Linked DNA regions of Ovis aries. Each later gene encodes a partner of the first gene's protein in a complex. Links are inferred from orthologs where the notes say so. Each region holds a gene or a part of one and is shown in the gene's direction. Other genes may lie near its edges. The genes, in order: NSMCE4A, NSMCE3, SMC5, NSMCE1 and NSMCE2.

What was found.
Region 2: NSMCE4A (region 1) and NSMCE3 share a complex: the UniProt entries of both Homo sapiens proteins name them as parts of the SMC5-SMC6 complex. The link is inferred for Ovis aries from reciprocal best matches to the Homo sapiens genes NSMCE4A and NSMCE3.
Region 3: NSMCE4A (region 1) and SMC5 share a complex: the UniProt entries of both Homo sapiens proteins name them as parts of the SMC5-SMC6 complex. The link is inferred for Ovis aries from reciprocal best matches to the Homo sapiens genes NSMCE4A and SMC5.
Region 4: NSMCE4A (region 1) and NSMCE1 share a complex: the UniProt entries of both Homo sapiens proteins name them as parts of the SMC5-SMC6 complex. The link is inferred for Ovis aries from reciprocal best matches to the Homo sapiens genes NSMCE4A and NSMCE1.
Region 5: NSMCE4A (region 1) and NSMCE2 share a complex: the UniProt entries of both Homo sapiens proteins name them as parts of the SMC5-SMC6 complex. The link is inferred for Ovis aries from reciprocal best matches to the Homo sapiens genes NSMCE4A and NSMCE2.

The regions. Positions count from the first base shown.
Region 1 is NC_056075.1:41,386,854-41,391,111, reverse strand, and holds the start of NSMCE4A (non-structural maintenance of chromosomes element 4 homolog A), read left to right. Parts: upstream 1-1,456; 5' UTR 1,457-1,548; coding exon 1,549-1,840; intron 1,841-2,019; exon of another isoform or gene 2,020-2,285; coding exon of another isoform or gene 2,286-2,295; intron 2,296-2,525; coding exon 2,526-2,603; exon of another isoform or gene 2,604-4,150; intron 4,151-4,258. UniProt on the Homo sapiens protein: Component of the SMC5-SMC6 complex, a complex involved in DNA double-strand breaks by homologous recombination. The complex may promote sister chromatid homologous recombination by recruiting the SMC1-SMC3 cohesin complex to double-strand breaks.
Region 2 is NC_056071.1:25,979,605-25,982,912, reverse strand, and holds NSMCE3 (non-structural maintenance of chromosomes element 3 homolog), read left to right. Parts: upstream 1-1,246; 5' UTR 1,247-1,370; coding exon 1,371-2,228; 3' UTR 2,229-2,800; downstream 2,801-3,308. UniProt on the Homo sapiens protein: Component of the SMC5-SMC6 complex, a complex involved in repair of DNA double-strand breaks by homologous recombination. The complex may promote sister chromatid homologous recombination by recruiting the SMC1-SMC3 cohesin complex to double-strand breaks.
Region 3 is NC_056055.1:66,422,240-66,425,758, reverse strand, and holds part of SMC5 (structural maintenance of chromosomes protein 5), read left to right. Parts: intron 1-3,073; coding exon 3,074-3,215; intron 3,216-3,519. UniProt on the Homo sapiens protein: Core component of the SMC5-SMC6 complex, a complex involved in repair of DNA double-strand breaks by homologous recombination.
Region 4 is NC_056077.1:25,321,075-25,323,415, reverse strand, and holds the end of NSMCE1 (non-structural maintenance of chromosomes element 1 homolog), read left to right. Parts: intron 1-1,041; coding exon 1,042-1,323; 3' UTR 1,324-1,346; coding exon of another isoform or gene 1,347-1,468; 3' UTR 1,469-1,606; coding exon of another isoform or gene 1,607-1,686; 3' UTR 1,687-1,822; downstream 1,823-2,341. UniProt on the Homo sapiens protein: RING-type zinc finger-containing E3 ubiquitin ligase that assembles with melanoma antigen protein (MAGE) to catalyze the direct transfer of ubiquitin from E2 ubiquitin-conjugating enzyme to a specific substrate.
Region 5 is NC_056062.1:28,029,703-28,033,221, reverse strand, and holds part of NSMCE2 (E3 SUMO-protein ligase NSE2), read left to right. Parts: intron 1-1,018; coding exon 1,019-1,172; intron 1,173-3,519. UniProt on the Homo sapiens protein: E3 SUMO-protein ligase component of the SMC5-SMC6 complex, a complex involved in DNA double-strand break repair by homologous recombination. Is not be required for the stability of the complex.

The DNA.
Region 1 (4,258 bases):
GCCCGATCTTCGGGGAATGGGGATGAGATTACCATGATTCATTTCAGGGCATACCTTTCCTGAAATCCAGGTTAAGCAGGAGTGAGGTGTGATATATGCTGCAAAGAATAGTGCTTATCTCAAACTGAGTACATCTGATTCACAACATGGTATTTTTGTAGACTTGGGTAGTAACTCAACTGACATTGTTCCTTTGAAAAAAAATGGGTTCTCAGCACCGAAAAGAACTCTTGAGAAATATTTGCAATACAATCCAAAATACGTGGGAGATTCATATACTTATCTTTAAAACTGTATTAATATAATTTCATAGTTTTTAGACCCATTTAAAAGTATTTTAGAATCTTTCAGCTTGAGGACCAAATATGAACATAAACTGTCAAGGTGTAGATATTTAAAAACGATGGTTAACAGAGTTTACTCCAAGAAAATCAAGGAACCTTGTCAATTTTCTGTTTGTTCAGTTGTTCTGTCCTCAAAAAAGGTGGGATTGGGACTTCCCTGGTGGTCCAGTGGTTAAGAATTCATCTGAGGATCCCACATACCACAGGGCAACCAAACCCCTGTGCCACAACTGAGCCCAGAAGTCTATAACCCATGCTCCAAAACAAGAGAAGCCAAGGCAATGAGAAGCCCAAGAACCACAACTAGTGATAAGCCCCCCACTGGTGGCAACTAGAGAAAGCCTGCCTGCCCAGCAACAAGGGCCCAGTGCAGTCAAAAATAAACTCAGACAGTAAAGAATCTGTCTGCAATGCAGGAATTGAGGGTTTCCACTTCAGTATTCTTCAGTATACTGAAGAACCCACTTCAGTATTCTTGCCTGGAGAATTCTATAGACAGAGGAGCCTGGTAGGCTACTGGAGTCCATGAAGTCCCAAACAGTTAGACAGGACTGAGCGATTAACACTTTTCACTTTCAAAAAAAAAAAAAAAGTGGAGGGGGGATTACCAGCTGTTCATAAACTCCACTGGGTCCCTGCCATAATGGCTCAAGGAACTAAGGTCACAGATAGTGAGTGGCAGAATCTCATCTTTCGTCTCCATGTCCAGCGCGCATCCTGCTTAACTGCAGGAGACTCGATCAACAAACACGGTCTGCGTGCCCATTACCTGGCAATGTCCCAGATATTTCTGTCTGGAGCTTGGAATGAATTTCCAGCTGCAAGAATGCTAAGTATTTGTTTTAAGGGTGTGGCTGGGTCCGGGAGAGCCAGGGAGACCCCGGGGAAGGTGAAAGTCTAATAAGGTGGGCACGGAGGACCAGACCACGAAGATTATAAGCATCTAAAGTGGGATCACAGGGTATCCAACGTCAGGGGCGTGCAAAGTCAGGGGCCTGAGCCGCCCGGTGCCCGCCTGGCGGCGCTGTAGCCACTGCGCCCCCGGCCTCGGCCCCTGCCGCCGGCCTCCAGCCACAGGCGTCGCTGTGCGCTCGCGCCGGCAAGGGAGCCGCGTTCCGGGGGGAGCAGGCGCTTAGGGTGTGCAGGGCTTTCAGTTTCTGGCGCGAACTTCCGCCGTTCCAAAGTTGCAGGGAGGCTTGGCGCTATGTCCGGGGACAGCAGCGGCCGCCGGCCCGAGGGCCGGGGCCGGGGCCGCGACCCGCACCGGGATCGCACCCGCTCCCGCTCCCGCTCGCGGTCCCCGCTGTCGCCCGGGTCCCGCCGCGGCGCCGCGCCCGAGCGCAGGGAGGCCCCAGAGCGCCCGGGCTTGGAGGATACCGAACCGTCGGATTCCGGGGACGAGATGATAGACCCGGCGAGCCTGGAGGAGGAGACCGACCCCAGTCTGTGCCGCCAGATCCGCCATCAGTACCGGGCGCTTATCAACTCGGTCCAACGTAAGGCAGGGTAGCGAGGCGGGAACGGCGCGCAGGCCCTGCGCGGCCCAGCTGGTTCGTGGAGCCCGGGACCAGCCCCGCGCCGCCCGGCCGTTCCCGGGTTCGGGGTTTACGAGGCACTCGCGCATCTGTCGTGCGGATCGCAAGGCACGACCTTGGCGGGGGCGCGCGAGTCCCCCAGGGGCGGGACCGCCCGAGGCCGGGCGCGGTCTGGAAGCCAGGGAGAGGAGGCACGAGGAGCCGGGGCGCATTTTCTTAGATCCAGCGGTTCCCCGCCGGCAGTCGCCCGCCCGAGGCAGCTGCCAGAAATGCAAATTCCCCAGTGTACTGGACCTACCTATTCTGAAACTCTGGGTGGCCCGGCTGTGCAAGCTGTGGCTTGCAGAGTTAGAGAGTCCTTCTGATTAAGAGCGCTCTTTAGAGGCTGCAGAAGGCGTGGAAGCCCATGGGTGAAGGTTAGGGGGAGCGAAGTGGGTCCCCTTTTCAAGTTCATTCTGCTAATGGGGTAGTCATCTTTTCTGTTGTCAGGCCGTTTTGGTTAAAGAAATACAGCTGAAAATAATTCCACCGGGGGGTGGGGGTGGGGGCTGGGACTTGGCTCTCCAGCTGCTGCTAGTTACTCTGTCAATGACTTGTTAGCCTATGATGAGCACCTTTCCCAAAGTTTGTATTTTTTTTAAAATAGAAAACCGGGAGGATATATTGAATGCCAGCGACAAGTTAACAGAGGTCCTTGAAGAGGCCAACACTCTCTTTAATGAAGGTAATTCTTTATTTTATGGAAGGAAGCTTTCTGTGATCATATATTTTAGGGTAATTTTAATTAGTTTTGCATGAGAACCGAATGCTTGACACCAAACAACCCCCATATTTATAAGAGTGCTTTACTAGTTTTGGAACCTTTTCCCTTGTAGCACCACTTCTATGATTGTGCACTTATCAGTCCCTAAGCACTGCTTCCCTGATGGATCAGGGGTTAAAGCGTCTGCCCACAATGCGGGAGACCTGGGTTCGATCCCTGGGTCAGGGACGATCCCCTGGAGAAGGAAATGGTTAACCCGCTCCAGTATTCTTGCCTAGAGAATCCCATGGACGGAGGAGCCTGGTGGGCGAGTTGGACACAATTTCACTTTCACTTTCACAAGTACAAACAAGTAGTAAGGGCTTTATTTGGGGGTGGGGAGCAGCAGCCAGTTTTAACAGGCGCTCCAGGAGATTCTGTTGCTTGTTCAAGTTTGAGAACTTTCTGTGTATTAAATTTCTATTGTATTGACTGCTGAGAATTTTTATGTCTTATCTTTCTACTCTATTGACTACCTAGGATGCATTGGATGTATTAAAGAAAGAACTGAGCTGGCTTCTGACATCCTGTTTCTTTTCCTGCCTTCCTCCCGACCTCCCGTCCCTAAGCTCCTTGTTTTGGTCCACCTAATATAACCCAGTGGGGATGGCCAGGTCTACAGGTGGCCCTGTTGGTCTCCAGTGAGGGGAGGGGCCTGAGAAAGAGAAGAATCTCAGCACTGAACTCTAGCATTGTTGGGGGCGAAGGGGCCTCTGAAATAAAAGCTTGGTTTGAATGAAAAGCAGCAGCAATGTTAGTGCTAAGAGGGGTCTCTGTGTTTGAAGACAGGACAGGTCAGGCAGCCCCTGATGGTGTGGGCACTGGGTCACAGAGCCCGGGGACAAGTCCTCAGACTACTTTTCCCTCCTGGCCTTTCTCTAAATTCTATGGGAGCAGAAGAGGAGAGTGCAGACCCATGCAGGTGAAGAAGTCAACAGAGCTGGCCGCTGCCTGGACACCACCACTCCACATGTTCTCTGAGAACCAGAACATTTCTTTCTTTTCACTTGGTGCAACCCCTCCTCCACTCTCTCTAGCTTTTTCTTCTCTTCTGAGCTGGGAACCCCCCTGCCCAGGCTGTCTCTTCAGGGTTGCTCTTGATCCCTGGTCCCCTATTATTCACCCACTGCTGAAAAGTTGTTGATTAACAGATCATTTCCTGCTTGGCCAATTCTACTATGCTAGCTGGGTCGCCTTTTTAAGGCACAGTTACTCAACCAGGCCCTAGGAGACAGTCAGCCAACAAAGGATTCTGTATCCTCCATATATACAGACTGCATGTTCTGCAGCTCCTAGAGATGTGAATCCATCCGTGGGAGATGGGCATTTTCCTCACAGCTTTCGTGGCAGTGACGGGCTGGCGGCGGGGAGGGGAGGTCAGGTCTGCAGCAGCCCAGGAACTAGTCCCTAGCTTTTGCCTCTTGTCTCTCATTCATTGTCACGGTCACAGTAATTCTCCTGAAATAAAACTGGGGAGAAAATTATGCATATGAATACAAAACTTGGAGTCAGTGGGTTCATCAGCCTGAGGAATGTTTGGGCAATCAAAAATTCAAGTGAAATGGCCTTGAGGAGCA
Region 2 (3,308 bases), on another chromosome or scaffold:
ATTACAACAAAATTTTATGCTACCAACATTTAATGAAATTTTAATAAGGTTGTGTTTTGATGTTATTATTCAAATAATGTGTTGTGAATTGCTTTCCTTTGAATATATTTGCATTAAAGAGGAACTCAACTTGATTTGGTTCTTTGAACAGTTTACCCACTTTCTGGTAGCTTTAAGAAGACAAAGAGGGAAATTAAGTTTCGCCTTTGCAAGTCAGTAAATAGAAAAGGAACCCATTTGCTAGGATCTGTGGATGTAATGGCAGCAGATTACAGATGGTTTGAGTTAATGAAATGACTCACGTTGGTTACTAAAGCAGCACAATTAAAAATATAAAGTAGATATTTCACAGATTATGACGGATGATAACCTGGAGTTTTCGCTTTCTCATTGATCTCTAAGGCTAGAGACTCACATGTTAGCAATTCTTGGTCAGAGATGCCCCAAATTAAATGGTAGTCTCTTGAGACCGACTTCTCTGTTGGTAGCATTCTCTTAGCCATTTCTGCCAGATCTGTGGTTGTGAGCCCAAGGCCCATCTTTCCATGAGCACGTGCTTCCAATAGATAAAACTCCCCGGATCAAGCAAAAACCCTCCACTTATCGTGCTTTCTGGGGTGACTGTGCCATAGCTGTCCGGCTGAAAGAGTTGATTACACAGAATATCAAGGCTGAAAGGTGAAAAGACACGGAGAAAGAGCCCTGTATGCGAGACGAAGCTGTTTACCATTGTTTCTAAACAGACTCGGGCTTTAGAGAAAGTAACTGGTGGAAAATGGTGAGAAGGGGCTGGCGAAGGCAAACTAGTAGTCCTTGGGGTCTTTTAATTGTCTTTACGTCGTTTCGTGTGGAAAGAAATTGCTCTTACTTCCTTTCCACGCTCTTCGCCGTATTTTTCTCCCATATTCATCCTGGGAGTTTCCTTCACCTACATACAGCCCTGATTTCAGAGCTTTTGACTCTCAAGTTTCTACAGCCCTGGCCTGGGTACGATCCTGAGCCAAGCCGCACACTCGCTCAGGAGCTCTGCTTCCTGTTCGCCATCTGCAGGGTTTGGTAATAACGACGACACTTAATCATAATACAGCCCGAAAGGCTGCAAGGAATACCCGCTTCTTACCGCCGCCGTCCGCGGCCGCTGGCCAGACCGGAGCGACCTCTAGACGCGGCGCGGCCTCGATGACGCAACGCGCAGCCTCCGTGACGCAAGCGCGCAGCTTCTGTGACGCAAGCGCGCAGCTTCTGTGACACAACCGCTTCTCCTCCGGGCCCTCCCACAGCCCCACGGACTAACGGCTAACCGACCTTCAATCCCTGCCACCGCTGCCGGTTACGGGGAGTCCGCGCGGTCGGGGTCCCGCCGCCGCGACATGTCGCAAAAGCCGAAGAGCCGGGGCCGCCCCAGTTCCCAGGGCGAGCGGGAGCCGAGTGGCGGCGGCGAGGAGGCCCCGAGCACGTCTCGCGGGCCGGGCGGCGCCGCGTCGCAGCGGCGGGCCCAGGCCTCCCCCGCGCCGGGGCCGCGCTCGCAGAAGCAGCTGGAGCTGAAGGTGGCGGAGCTGGTGCAGTTCTTGTTGATCAAGGACCAGAGGAAGATCCCTATCCGCCGCACCGACATCCTGCGGCATGTGGTCGGCGACTACAAGGATGTGCTCCCAGAGCTGCTGCGGCGGGCGGCCGAGCGCCTGGAGTACGTGTTCGGGTACCGGCTGGTGGAGCTGGAGCCGCGCAGCAACACCTACATTCTGGTCAACACGCTGGAACCGGTGGAAGAGGACGCGGAGGTGCGCGGAGACCAGGGAACGCCCACCACTGGGCTGCTCATGATCGTGCTGGGGCTCATCTTCATGAAAGGCAATACCATCAAGGAGACCGAGGTCTGGGACTTCCTGCGGCGCCTCGGGGTACACCCCGACAAGAAGCACCTCATCTTCGGGGAACCCAAGAAGCTCATCACCGAGGACTTCGTGCGGCAGCGATACCTGGATTACCGGCGCATCCCGCACACGGACCCCGTGGACTACGAGCTCCAGTGGGGCCCGCGCACCAACCTGGAGACCAGCAAGATGAAGGTGCTCAAGTTTGTGGCTAAAGTCCACAACCAGGACCCCAAGGACTGGCCGGCGCAGTACTGCGAGGCTTTGGCGGACGAGGAGGCCAGGGCCAGACCCCAGCCCGCGGGCCCGAGTCCAGCCACTGCCTCTGCCCCAACCCCTGCTCCTGTCTCTTGAAATCTGAGACACACCCCAGGGCCCTCTCCCTCCCCGGGGGAAGGGCTGGAGGTGGGAGGAAGCATCTTGATTGTTTAAATGCGTGGTAGTTCCAGGAAGTGTTTGCAAACTTTAATTCTTGTAATGTTGTAAGTCGTTTTGATTCTAAAATTTCATTTAGAGGGTGACTTGTTTTGTTTTGATTTGCTTCAGTGTCTGTGTTTTTTGGTGTAAAGATCTTGTTAGCTTTATAAAGCGAATTGGAAAACTTCCTACCCGGATCTGGAACTGCCAAGGAAATATAAGCGAACTGGCCCTTGTCCGGCCTTTGAACTGCCCCACTCTGTAAAGGAAAAGTCTTCGTAAATTGAAAACGAAAGTGTAATTGCCTATATCCCCTATTACCTTAACGCAGCTATTTAAAAAATCTGTTTTCTATGCATGTAAGCATTTTGAGTCATTCTAAGCAATGTGTGTATTGTAGTTTTTCCAAATAACTTTTTACATTGATAATTACTATGCTGTGTGGCTGACCATTTTGTTCAATTTTTTTTGCTACTATAGTTATAATAAATACTGTATTTTTGAAGCAATTTAGCATTATGCATTTATTTTAACCCTAACTCATGAGAAATTTCATGACTGAAAACTAGCATCATAAGGAAAAAAGAAAACAATTTTTGTTACATATCATTGAGGTAAATAGTGTTTTGTTGAAGTTGCTTTACTTTTATATGTGTGACATACTGGATCATGATGTAAAATTATTTCTGTGGGTCATGGAAAAGTTGATAAAAGTCTTAGTGATTAACCATGCCTATTTGGGAATCAGACTAGTGGGTTCAGAGTCTGCCTCACTTACAAATTTAAGGAGATTAAGTTGTACACAGACCTTTCCTTACCTATAAAACGGGTTGATGCTGCCTGTTACTGTGTATGGTAGTGTGATAATTAGGTATGGAAGTTTATGTAAAGTTATGGGCACAAATTTGTTTAAATTGGGCTTTTTTTCCTTGGCTTAGGACTGTTAAAGTTTTTTCTTTTTAACTTTTTCTTTCATTCTCTTGTAAATCATGACTGTCCTTCTAGTCCGACTCTACT
Region 3 (3,519 bases), on another chromosome or scaffold:
ATGAATGGGTGGGTAGCGTGAACAGAGGTGAGGAGACAAAAAGAGTCAAAGATGATGCCTAGGTTTCTGCTGTGGGCAGAGGAATGAATAATTATATCCTTTACTAAGAGACTACAAGAGTGGTTTTAGATGTTTTTTTTTAAAGGTTTATGAAAAAGTAATTCCGGTTTTGGACTGTGAATTTTAAATTATTATAGCTAGGCTCAAACACATCTTTATTGATCAAAATAGCAACCATTACAGTCAACACATTTTTGCCAACAAGAAATAAGTTTGTTTATTCTTGTAGCATAAAAATCTGTCCTTCAGGATTCGACGAACTCTTGGAAAGTGTTTTCTGTCTCATGCTGGTTGTGGAAGTGATTTGCCTGCAAAACGTTGTTGAGATGCTTGAAAAAGTGGTAATTGGTTGGTGATAGGTTATATGGCTGTTGAGGCAAAACTTCTTAGCCCAGTTCTTTCAACTTTTGAAGAGTTGGTTTTGTGATATATGGTCAGGCGTTATGGAGATGAATTGGGCCCATTCTGTTGGCCAGTGCTGGCTGCAGGCATTGCAATTTCTGTGCATCTCATCGATTTGCTGAGCATACTTCTCAGATGTAATGGTTTCTCTGCACCAGGATTCAGAAAGCTGTAGTATATCAGATGGGCAGCAGACCACCAAGAGAGTGACCATGACCTTTTTTTGGTGCAATTTTGGCTTTGGAAAGTGCTTTGGAGTTTCTTCGTGGTCCAACCACTGAGCAGGTTATCACCGGTTGTCATATAAAATCCACTTTTCATCACATGGTTTGTTGTTGCATACAATAAGAGAAGATGACACTTCAAAACAACGGGTTTTTTTTTCTTGGTCTATTCATGAGGTACCCACTTAACGAGCTTTTCCACCTTTCCAATTTGCTTCAAATGCCGAATGACCACAGAAGGATTGACATTGAGTTCTTGGGCAACTTCTGGTGTAGTTGTAAGAGGTTCAGCATTGATAATCCTCTCAATTGGTTGTTGTCAACTTCCAGTTGCCGGCCACTGTGCTGCTCATCCTCAAGGCTCTCATCTCCTTTGCAAAACTTCTTGAGCCAGTGCAGTTTCACTAGCAGTTCCTGGGCCAAATGCGTGGTTGATGTTGTGAGTTATCTCTGCTGCCTTACAACCAATTTTGAACCCATTTTGAACTCGAATAAGAAAATTGCTCGAATTTGCATTTTGTTTAACATCATTTCCCTGGTCTAAAATAAATATAAAATAAACAGCGAGTGATAAGTCATTAGCAAAAAAAAAAAATGTGCATTAAAATGATGTATAACGTAACCACATTTATTTGAAAATCTATTCCAATATCAAACAGCAAAGTTCAACAATGCAAAACCACAGTTACTTTTGCACCAGTGTAATAGTTTTGAATATGTTAAGTTTGAAGTGACCGTTGTAGGACATCCAAATAGAGTTCTTGAGGTGGGAATTGCATCTGTAGGTCATCTGAACCGACTTTCAGTATGTAGATGTTACCTGAGGCCATGGAGAATATATGAGGTACTAGATAAAGTATGTAAACTCAGAAGAGGGTGGCCTCTGAAATTAGCTTTTTCAGGGGGAGGTCAGAGAAAAGGGAACTCACAAAAGGGAATTTCCAATAAACATATTGTAGGGTCAGAATGGTTTCTTTTTTTCTCTCTCTTTTAAATGCAGAGGCTTTATTTAGTTTTTGGCAGCTTTTCGTGTTTATAGTGTTTGTGTGTAACAATATAGGTCAGAAGTTTTCATGCTTTTTTCTGCTGTATTTGTTTGCTTAAATACCAGTTGCATCACTGTTTTAGTAAGACAGTTCACAGCAGGAAAATCAAATATTAAAAGAATGGAGCTGCATGTGTTGATTAAGAAGCTCCAAGTCAGATAATTTTCCAGATGTCTGAAATTCCCAAACTAGTTTTATTTTCAGTGTTGTAAAGGGTTGTTTCAAGACTCTGCTGTTACTAGAATAAAGCTTCTGAAAAGACAGGTGGATGCTCTGCGGAGAAGTGGGGTTGGAAACCTGCCAGGAAAATACTTTTATTTACCACCTGTATTTATTTTATTACGACTTGGAATTTCAGAATTGTAAATTTCTTGGAGTATTAAAGTTGAAGTGTGCTTGGTTAAGTTATTTGAATACTTAGCAAGTTAGTAATAGGCTAAGCTTTTACTCTTGGGGAATTAGTTGGTAGCCAACTGAAACTGTGGGCACGGGACATTACTTATGGGGTCCAGTTCCAGATATTCAAGGACATGGTACAAAGATACTGAGTCAGTTTCCTTCACATCTTGCCATAGCTCTCCCTGAAGACTAATATGGGTTAGATGCTCCTGTTGCAGGTAGAGAGCAGGACAGCATGCTGCTTTCTAGTATGAGGGAAAGTTACGGACGTGCTTGGTGATGATGCACTCTTGTTTCCTCTCATAGGAATAAAATTTAATTTGTGCTACAAATAGATCCTTTGGTGAATGTCTGGCAGCATATTAAAGGAAATTCATGTTATTTTAAAAAATTAATAAATTAAACTATTGAGTTGATATATCTTCAGTTTTCTAATTATAATAAAAGTAATTCGATTGACTATGATAAGTTTCTAGTAAGCATTTTAATTCAAGAGAAATATAAACGTAAAATACACAAATTTAGAATGAGCTGTCACTTTACTTACATATAATTTGTTTAAAAACCATTTGTACAGTAGCTTTGATGGACTTTCTCATGTATTAGAATTACTAAAGAATAAATTATATCAAACTTCACTCTATTCAGCAGACTTAATATTTGAGAAAAATTATGTGAAGTTTTATTTTCCCATGAATGTTCTAATTTTAGATATACTTTGTCACTTTTTAATTTCTCTCACTGACAGACTTTTTTTTCCCTGTAAATTATTAACAACCTATAAACTAATGTTACATTAAAATTTATAAGGTTCGTTGCTTTTTAAAGAATTTGAGGAAACCTATAGTTAGTGATACGGGTAAAGCAAGAAAAAGTGCTTTAGTAGGAAAATATTCTTCACTTCTTGTTTCTACTTAGTAATCTCACCTCTTTATAATTTAGGACATATGATGTCTGTGAAGTATCTCCTGGGCCCCACTTGAATATGATTATTGGAGCTAATGGAACAGGGAAGTCCAGCATTGTGTGTGCCATTTGCCTTGGATTAGCAGGCAAACCTGCTTTCATGGGACGGGCAGATAAGGTAAGTTAACATAGGTACTTTTAACAAAATTCAAAACCATGAATCGCTTTTGGTAACAAATCAATTTCTTCATCTTAATTCCTTGGGTATGGCAAATGTGTTGTGCTTGAATATAAATAATAAGTTGGCAGATAGAGACACTGAGGGAAGATCTCCATTTTACAGAAGTAGTTTGCTATATACCTAGAGAATTCTCCAAGTGTGTAACACCTTCAGCCTTAGAAATAGTGTAAGATACAGCTGTTTAAATGTATGGATGGGCTTGTGAAAAGGAGAAGTAAGTTTCCAAAGGGCACAAACAAAG
Region 4 (2,341 bases), on another chromosome or scaffold:
CAGGGCCCAGGGCTCACTCAGGGCCCAGGCCTCTGACCACGGGCATCTCCTCAGAAGCATCTGACGACAAGTGCACGAAGGCCTGCTTCTCCCTGCTCCTTCTGCTCTGTCCCAGGCTCTTTTTATTTTTGCCCCCTGCCCTGCTGTGTGCCTTTGCCCAGGACCCCCACTGTCGCCCCAGGGCTACAACGCGTGCTCTCAGAAGTCTGTGTCTCCTATTATCGTGGCAGCAACGCGCCAACCATCTTTCTGTCTCAGCCACAGATTCCTGTCGTCTGTTGGCCTCTGAGTACATTGTACAGCTTCAGAGCAGAGCAGCTGGACCAGTGCTGGATGATTCTGCTTTTGCCTTTTTGCTTTAGACTTTTCTGATGCCTTTTTTAAGGCCTTCATTGAGTTTGTTACAGCGCTGCTTCTGTTTTTTTATGGTTCGGTTTTTCGGCAGTGAGGCAGGTAGGACGTCAGCTCCCTGACCAGGGATCGCGCCTGCACCCCCTGTGCTGGAAGGCACAGGAGGCCCAGGGAAGCCCCTGTGTTTCCTCCTTTTTCATTCTCTTTTTGCATTTATCAGTTGCACTGGGCTGGGCCTCTTGGCACATCCATCCTTGGGCACCTAGTGGTTATGTTTCTTGGGTTGGAATCCCAAGAGTGGAATTTCTAGAACAGAGTGTGCACACGGCTGTTTAAAGCTCTGCCCCACGCTGCTGAAGTGCCTTCTGAAAGCCGTGGTCGTCTTCATGCCCCCTCCAGGGCCCACTCATGCTCAGAGTCCAGGCTTGGGGGCGGCCTTGCTGCTCCAAGGTCCTGGCCGCCACCCACTCTGCCCTGCTCTGGCCTCTGGAGCCTTGAGCTTCTTCCCTTTGCACTCACTTGTCAGCTGCTTTACTAAAACCCACTGCACTGAAGACTCAGAGTTGTTCTCATTGTCCGTTTGGGGCCTGGAAGACAAAATTACCAAGCCAGTGGGATGTCTTCTTTGCAGTCCGCTGAAGGGTTATGAACACAGAGATGTGTTCTCAAGCCATCACTTTCTCATTTCAGGGTCAAAGCTGTGAGACGTGTGGAATCAGGATGCACTTACCTTGTGTGGCTAAGTACTTCCAGTCCAACTCGGAGCCGCACTGTCCCCACTGTAACGACTACTGGCCCCACGAGGTGCCAGGTCTGTGTCTCCCAGCCACTTGCTTTCCTCCTGGCCTGTGGCAGGGCTGTGTGTATGCCAGAGTGTGCGTGCCCAGCATTGAGGGGGCACCGGGGCGAGGGGCGGCAGGGCACCCCAACAAGGGCTCCATGTGTGTGCGGGCCCTGGGCCCCATGTACTGAAGTACCTTCTGTGGTCATTGGAGGCCGGCCTGCTTGCTGGTGTTGGTTCCGCAAGGTGCTCTGGAACCCAGCAGAAACCCTGAGACGCGAGAGGGTCTGGTATAGTAAACACGCTCCCCTGCAGCTGTCTCTGGAGGGGAGGTGAAAGTGCATCCCCAGACGGGCTCATCCTGCCTCCCTGGGGGGTGAACTGTTCCGTGGGACAGAGTCCTCGGCACAGGCTTATGGCTGGGGGCGCCCACCAGCCCCGCCACTCACAGTGCCTTCTGGCTTTTCTGTGCAGAAGTCTTCGACCCCGAGAAGGAGAGGGAGACCGGTATGTCCAGATCAAACAAAAGGTCCTTACGGTCCCGGCAGCACTAGCCAGGCCGCCGCCTTCGGGGGAGTGACCGCCTGCCCCATTTGGAAGAGAGGCATCAGTTTCACGGTTCGCGTGGATCACCTTTTTACCTTTTATGTTTGCTTGTTAACAGGTTTGGAATAAACTTGCTCAGCAGCTCCTGCGGCCTCATCTGGTGGCGCGCCCCTCTCTTGGCACTCACTGAGAGCTGGGGGCCTGGGCTCGGGTCTGGGCTGCGGCTGGCCGAGCGCCTCCTGCCCAGCATGGCCCGAGGCCACTTGCTCAGGACAGCGTTGCTTTCAGTCCCTAGCTCTGGTCACTGGTCCTACTCACACTGGCCAGCCCGACTTACTGGATGTGTGGGAGCCTTAGCCTTGGGCCCGCCCCATGCCCCACACTCTCCCTGGCCCGAGGTGCACCGGCCTGCACGGCACGAGGCTGCGGGAGGGGCTGTGGCTGTGTGTCATCTCTGGGCGCTCTGCCTCGCCTGCAGCTGCCCCAGGCCTGACCCAGGAAGTTGGCCTGGGTGCCACCTTCCCCTGGGTCTCCTGCATCACGCCTACCACCAAATCCTGTGCAGCCCACCTGCCAGATGGCCCTCAGCCCCACGGCCACCACCCAGGCTGGCCCAGCTCCCCTCCCCTCTGCACTGCTTCCAGATTCTCCCTCAGGGTCACC
Region 5 (3,519 bases), on another chromosome or scaffold:
AGAGATAGAGAATAACCATGCACTGGATAGAAGTACTGTTATTTTTGTGATATTAGGCATTATTCGGTTGATTGTCTTTGTACCTTCTTGTTTCCAAACTGGGCTTTATTGTTTCTTTAGCCTGATAGGACTTATTTTAAATTTTCAATTACATATGACTTGTCGCTAAAGCCTCGCCACGTTTTTCACACCTCTCTTTGATGATGGATCCAGCACTGGTTGAGCTTCATCAGTGCAATGAGAAGACAGTTCCTATACTCCGTACTTTATATATAGATTTAGGTATTTTGATTTCATGCTTAATTTTCAGTTTTGATTTGGCGCATGCATAGCAATTAAACAAAAGAAGATTATCTAATTCTTTCCTCCATGACAGAAGATAATCAAAGCAGAGGACTTACAGATAATCTTTTGACTTTGAATGGTAAAATATGATGCTTTCAACATTTTTGCATGTTTGAAAATTTTATAATAAAATATTGGGGGAGGGGAGAATAAAGATTGAGAGGTTAGCTTTGAACAGACTAGGGACACTTACTCCAGGTGACTGCAGATGGTGGAAGTTCGGGGCTAAAGTCTCCACTCATTTTGTGAAGGAGGAGCTAGCCTCACCTGCTGGGGCCTAGGACCAGAGAAGAGGAGTGCTGGAGAGAAAGCAGGACAGACTTGAGAAGAAGGAGGAGGGACCGCATAGACCTAAATGAGAAGAAGCACCGTCATGCTCAGTTTCGGGTGAAGGTGGGGGACACAGTTGCGTGGTAGTTGTCTGGACACGGCAAGTTAGCAGGGCAACGAAGGGATAGTGTAAGAAACCAAAGGGTAGATGGGGTAAATGAATTTCTCAGCTGTCCACTAGCAGTCTGTTTCTGAAACAGGGCCCTGTCTCCCTGGTTCTCTGTTGAAGGAAATTCTGTTTTCTACCTCTATATTTATATTTGAATAAAATGCAAGAAAAATACTGTTACAAGACTGTGTCATTGTTAACATTTAACTACAGTAATTTTATTGTCCTCCTCAGGTAAAAGAAGAACGTTCAGAGAAAATACCTGATCTAAAATTATTAGTGGAGAAGAAGTTTTTGGCTTTACAGAATAAGAATTCCGATGCAGACTTTCAAAATAATGAAAAATTTGTCCAATTTAAACAACAGCTGAAAGAACTAAAGAAGCAATGTAAGTCAGCATGCTTTGCTTTGGTTTGGCTTTTTTAAATTAGGGAAGTGACTGGATGAACAGTCCCAGAAAACTGATTTTTATAGAGTTTGCTTATCTGCTTGGCTTGATCTTCTTTCTGAATCGCTTTTTTATTGTTGTTGCAAATCTGTATTTTGTCTAACTTTTGGTTCAAATCAGCCTATCCATTTCTGAAAGCCAACGGTTTCCACAAAGTGCTAAGAAAATTCCCCAGCAGGTAGAGAAAGTTACACTGTTATTGTCCCAGTGCTGGGAAAGAAATTGGAAAAATAAAACTAAATAGCAAAGGTAGTTTTCAAACTTTAAACTGCTGTGCCAAGCTTTAAAATAACTGTATCTTGATTCTAGTTTTGCTGTTTTACAGTAGTAGGAGCAATGTTTTCTCAAATATGAGACCAAAATCCTCTTGATCTGTTCTATCTGGGTGGTAGTATAAATTCCACGTGATTTTCTTTTTCTTTTTTTGCCTTCCTAGGAAACTTTATTATACTCAGGTTTTTAATGCACATAATTTTAATTTAAAAATGAGAGTAGAAAAATTATTAATTGTACCCCCAAAATCTTGAAGACAGTGTTGGCAGAAATATGTTTTTTATACAGTGAAGTACATGTCCTTTTTTTTTTTCTCCCTTTTTCCCCATATAATCTACATACCAATTTTACGTAATTTTATTGTTTTTACACTAGCATCAGTTGCTGTTCTTTAGGTTTGAGGCTCTTTTATTCCTTAGAGAATTGAAGAAAGTAATTTTTTTTTAACTTTGGTTTCATATCATCTTCATTTGCATATACATGGGACAGGAATACATGATATAAGATAAATTTACTTCATGTTCATATTTGTATTTAGCAGGATTCCTATTTTTAAATAGGCCTTCTTTTAAATATAAGCATTTTCTTTAAATTGATGATGAGATCTCAAAAAATAACTGAGGAAGCAGCTTTACTTTTGTCTGTTTTACAAATAACTTAAGTTTCACAATTTGGAATGTTTTGCAATCATGATGAGACTTTTGCTTTTACTGTAAATTTAAATAGTAAGCATTTTTCCCCACATTTCAAATCTATGTGTTTTTTTGGTGGTTGTTGTTCTTCATTGAACAGCATAGCTACCAAATCTCTCTAAATTAATCTGTACTGTTTCCCCAGATGGATAACAATTCTCCAAATAGGTAATAATTTGCTAGTGCCTTTCTGCTCTAGATGCTATTAAATTGAAGTTCTTGCTTTGGTCAAAATAACCAAATTATTTTATTTTTCTTCTTGGAGACAATAATCACAAATTATGGCAGATTTAGCATCTGATCATAATTCTTGATTTTTTTTTTTAGATATTTTATAATGCAGATTAAAGGACAAATATTCAAAAAACAGAAATTTCTTCCCACTTTGTTATTGTTTACAAAGTTATTATTCCATAAGAGAAAACTATAAAGATCTTTAGAATCATATACTCATGTGGAAGTGCCTTCTAATTAACAGTGTATATTCAACAGAATTATAATTATTGGAATTATAGTATCATTTCTTTAATTCTCTCTAAAATGAGGAATGAGGAAGAGGTTTCCCCAGGCCAGCAGTATACATCGTTTGTCTGGATAGTTAAACCTTACTACAGAGTAAATTTATATTTAAGAAAACTTCCTTATATATGGTTTCCTTACATATGGTAACACTAGAATTAAGAGAACTTTCCTTATTATGTCTCCTAAAGTAATCTTTTTAAAAATTTTAAAATATCAAATGGTAAAACAAGCAAAATATTAATTAATATTCTTGTAAGATACTGTGTAAGATGTATATACTTTACTTGCAAAAATGTGATTTTTAGTGCATCATTGTTAGTGCTATCAGTTAAACTGGTGCCATGCCTCCTGGATTTCATTTCTTTAGATGTATGCTAGTGAGGATGCTGGTTAGCACCAGGCTTGTACAGTTTTGTGGAGCCAAGTCAAAGAGATTATAATTTATAAAGAAGCTGGTGAATCTGTTTATTTTGAGAGATGTTCTGAAGGCAAGGAATTACAATAGTAATTTTGTGGATTTTTTTTTTTTAAGGTTGGAAAAGACAAGCCAGGGAGAGATACTTGAATCTAGTTGCCTATTTTGACAAAGGCTAAAGCATTTTTATGGTCTGCACATAGTAGAAGAGTTCTTTCAATGAAAATCACCCCACATTTTCACCAACTTTATTATTTAAGAACATAAATTGCATGGGATTACATTTTACCAAATAAGGACTTAATGAAAGAAATACCAGGAAGCTCTTAGGTGGGGGGAAATCAAGGAGACCAAAATCAGGTCTGACCTAATTTCTCAAGGCAGC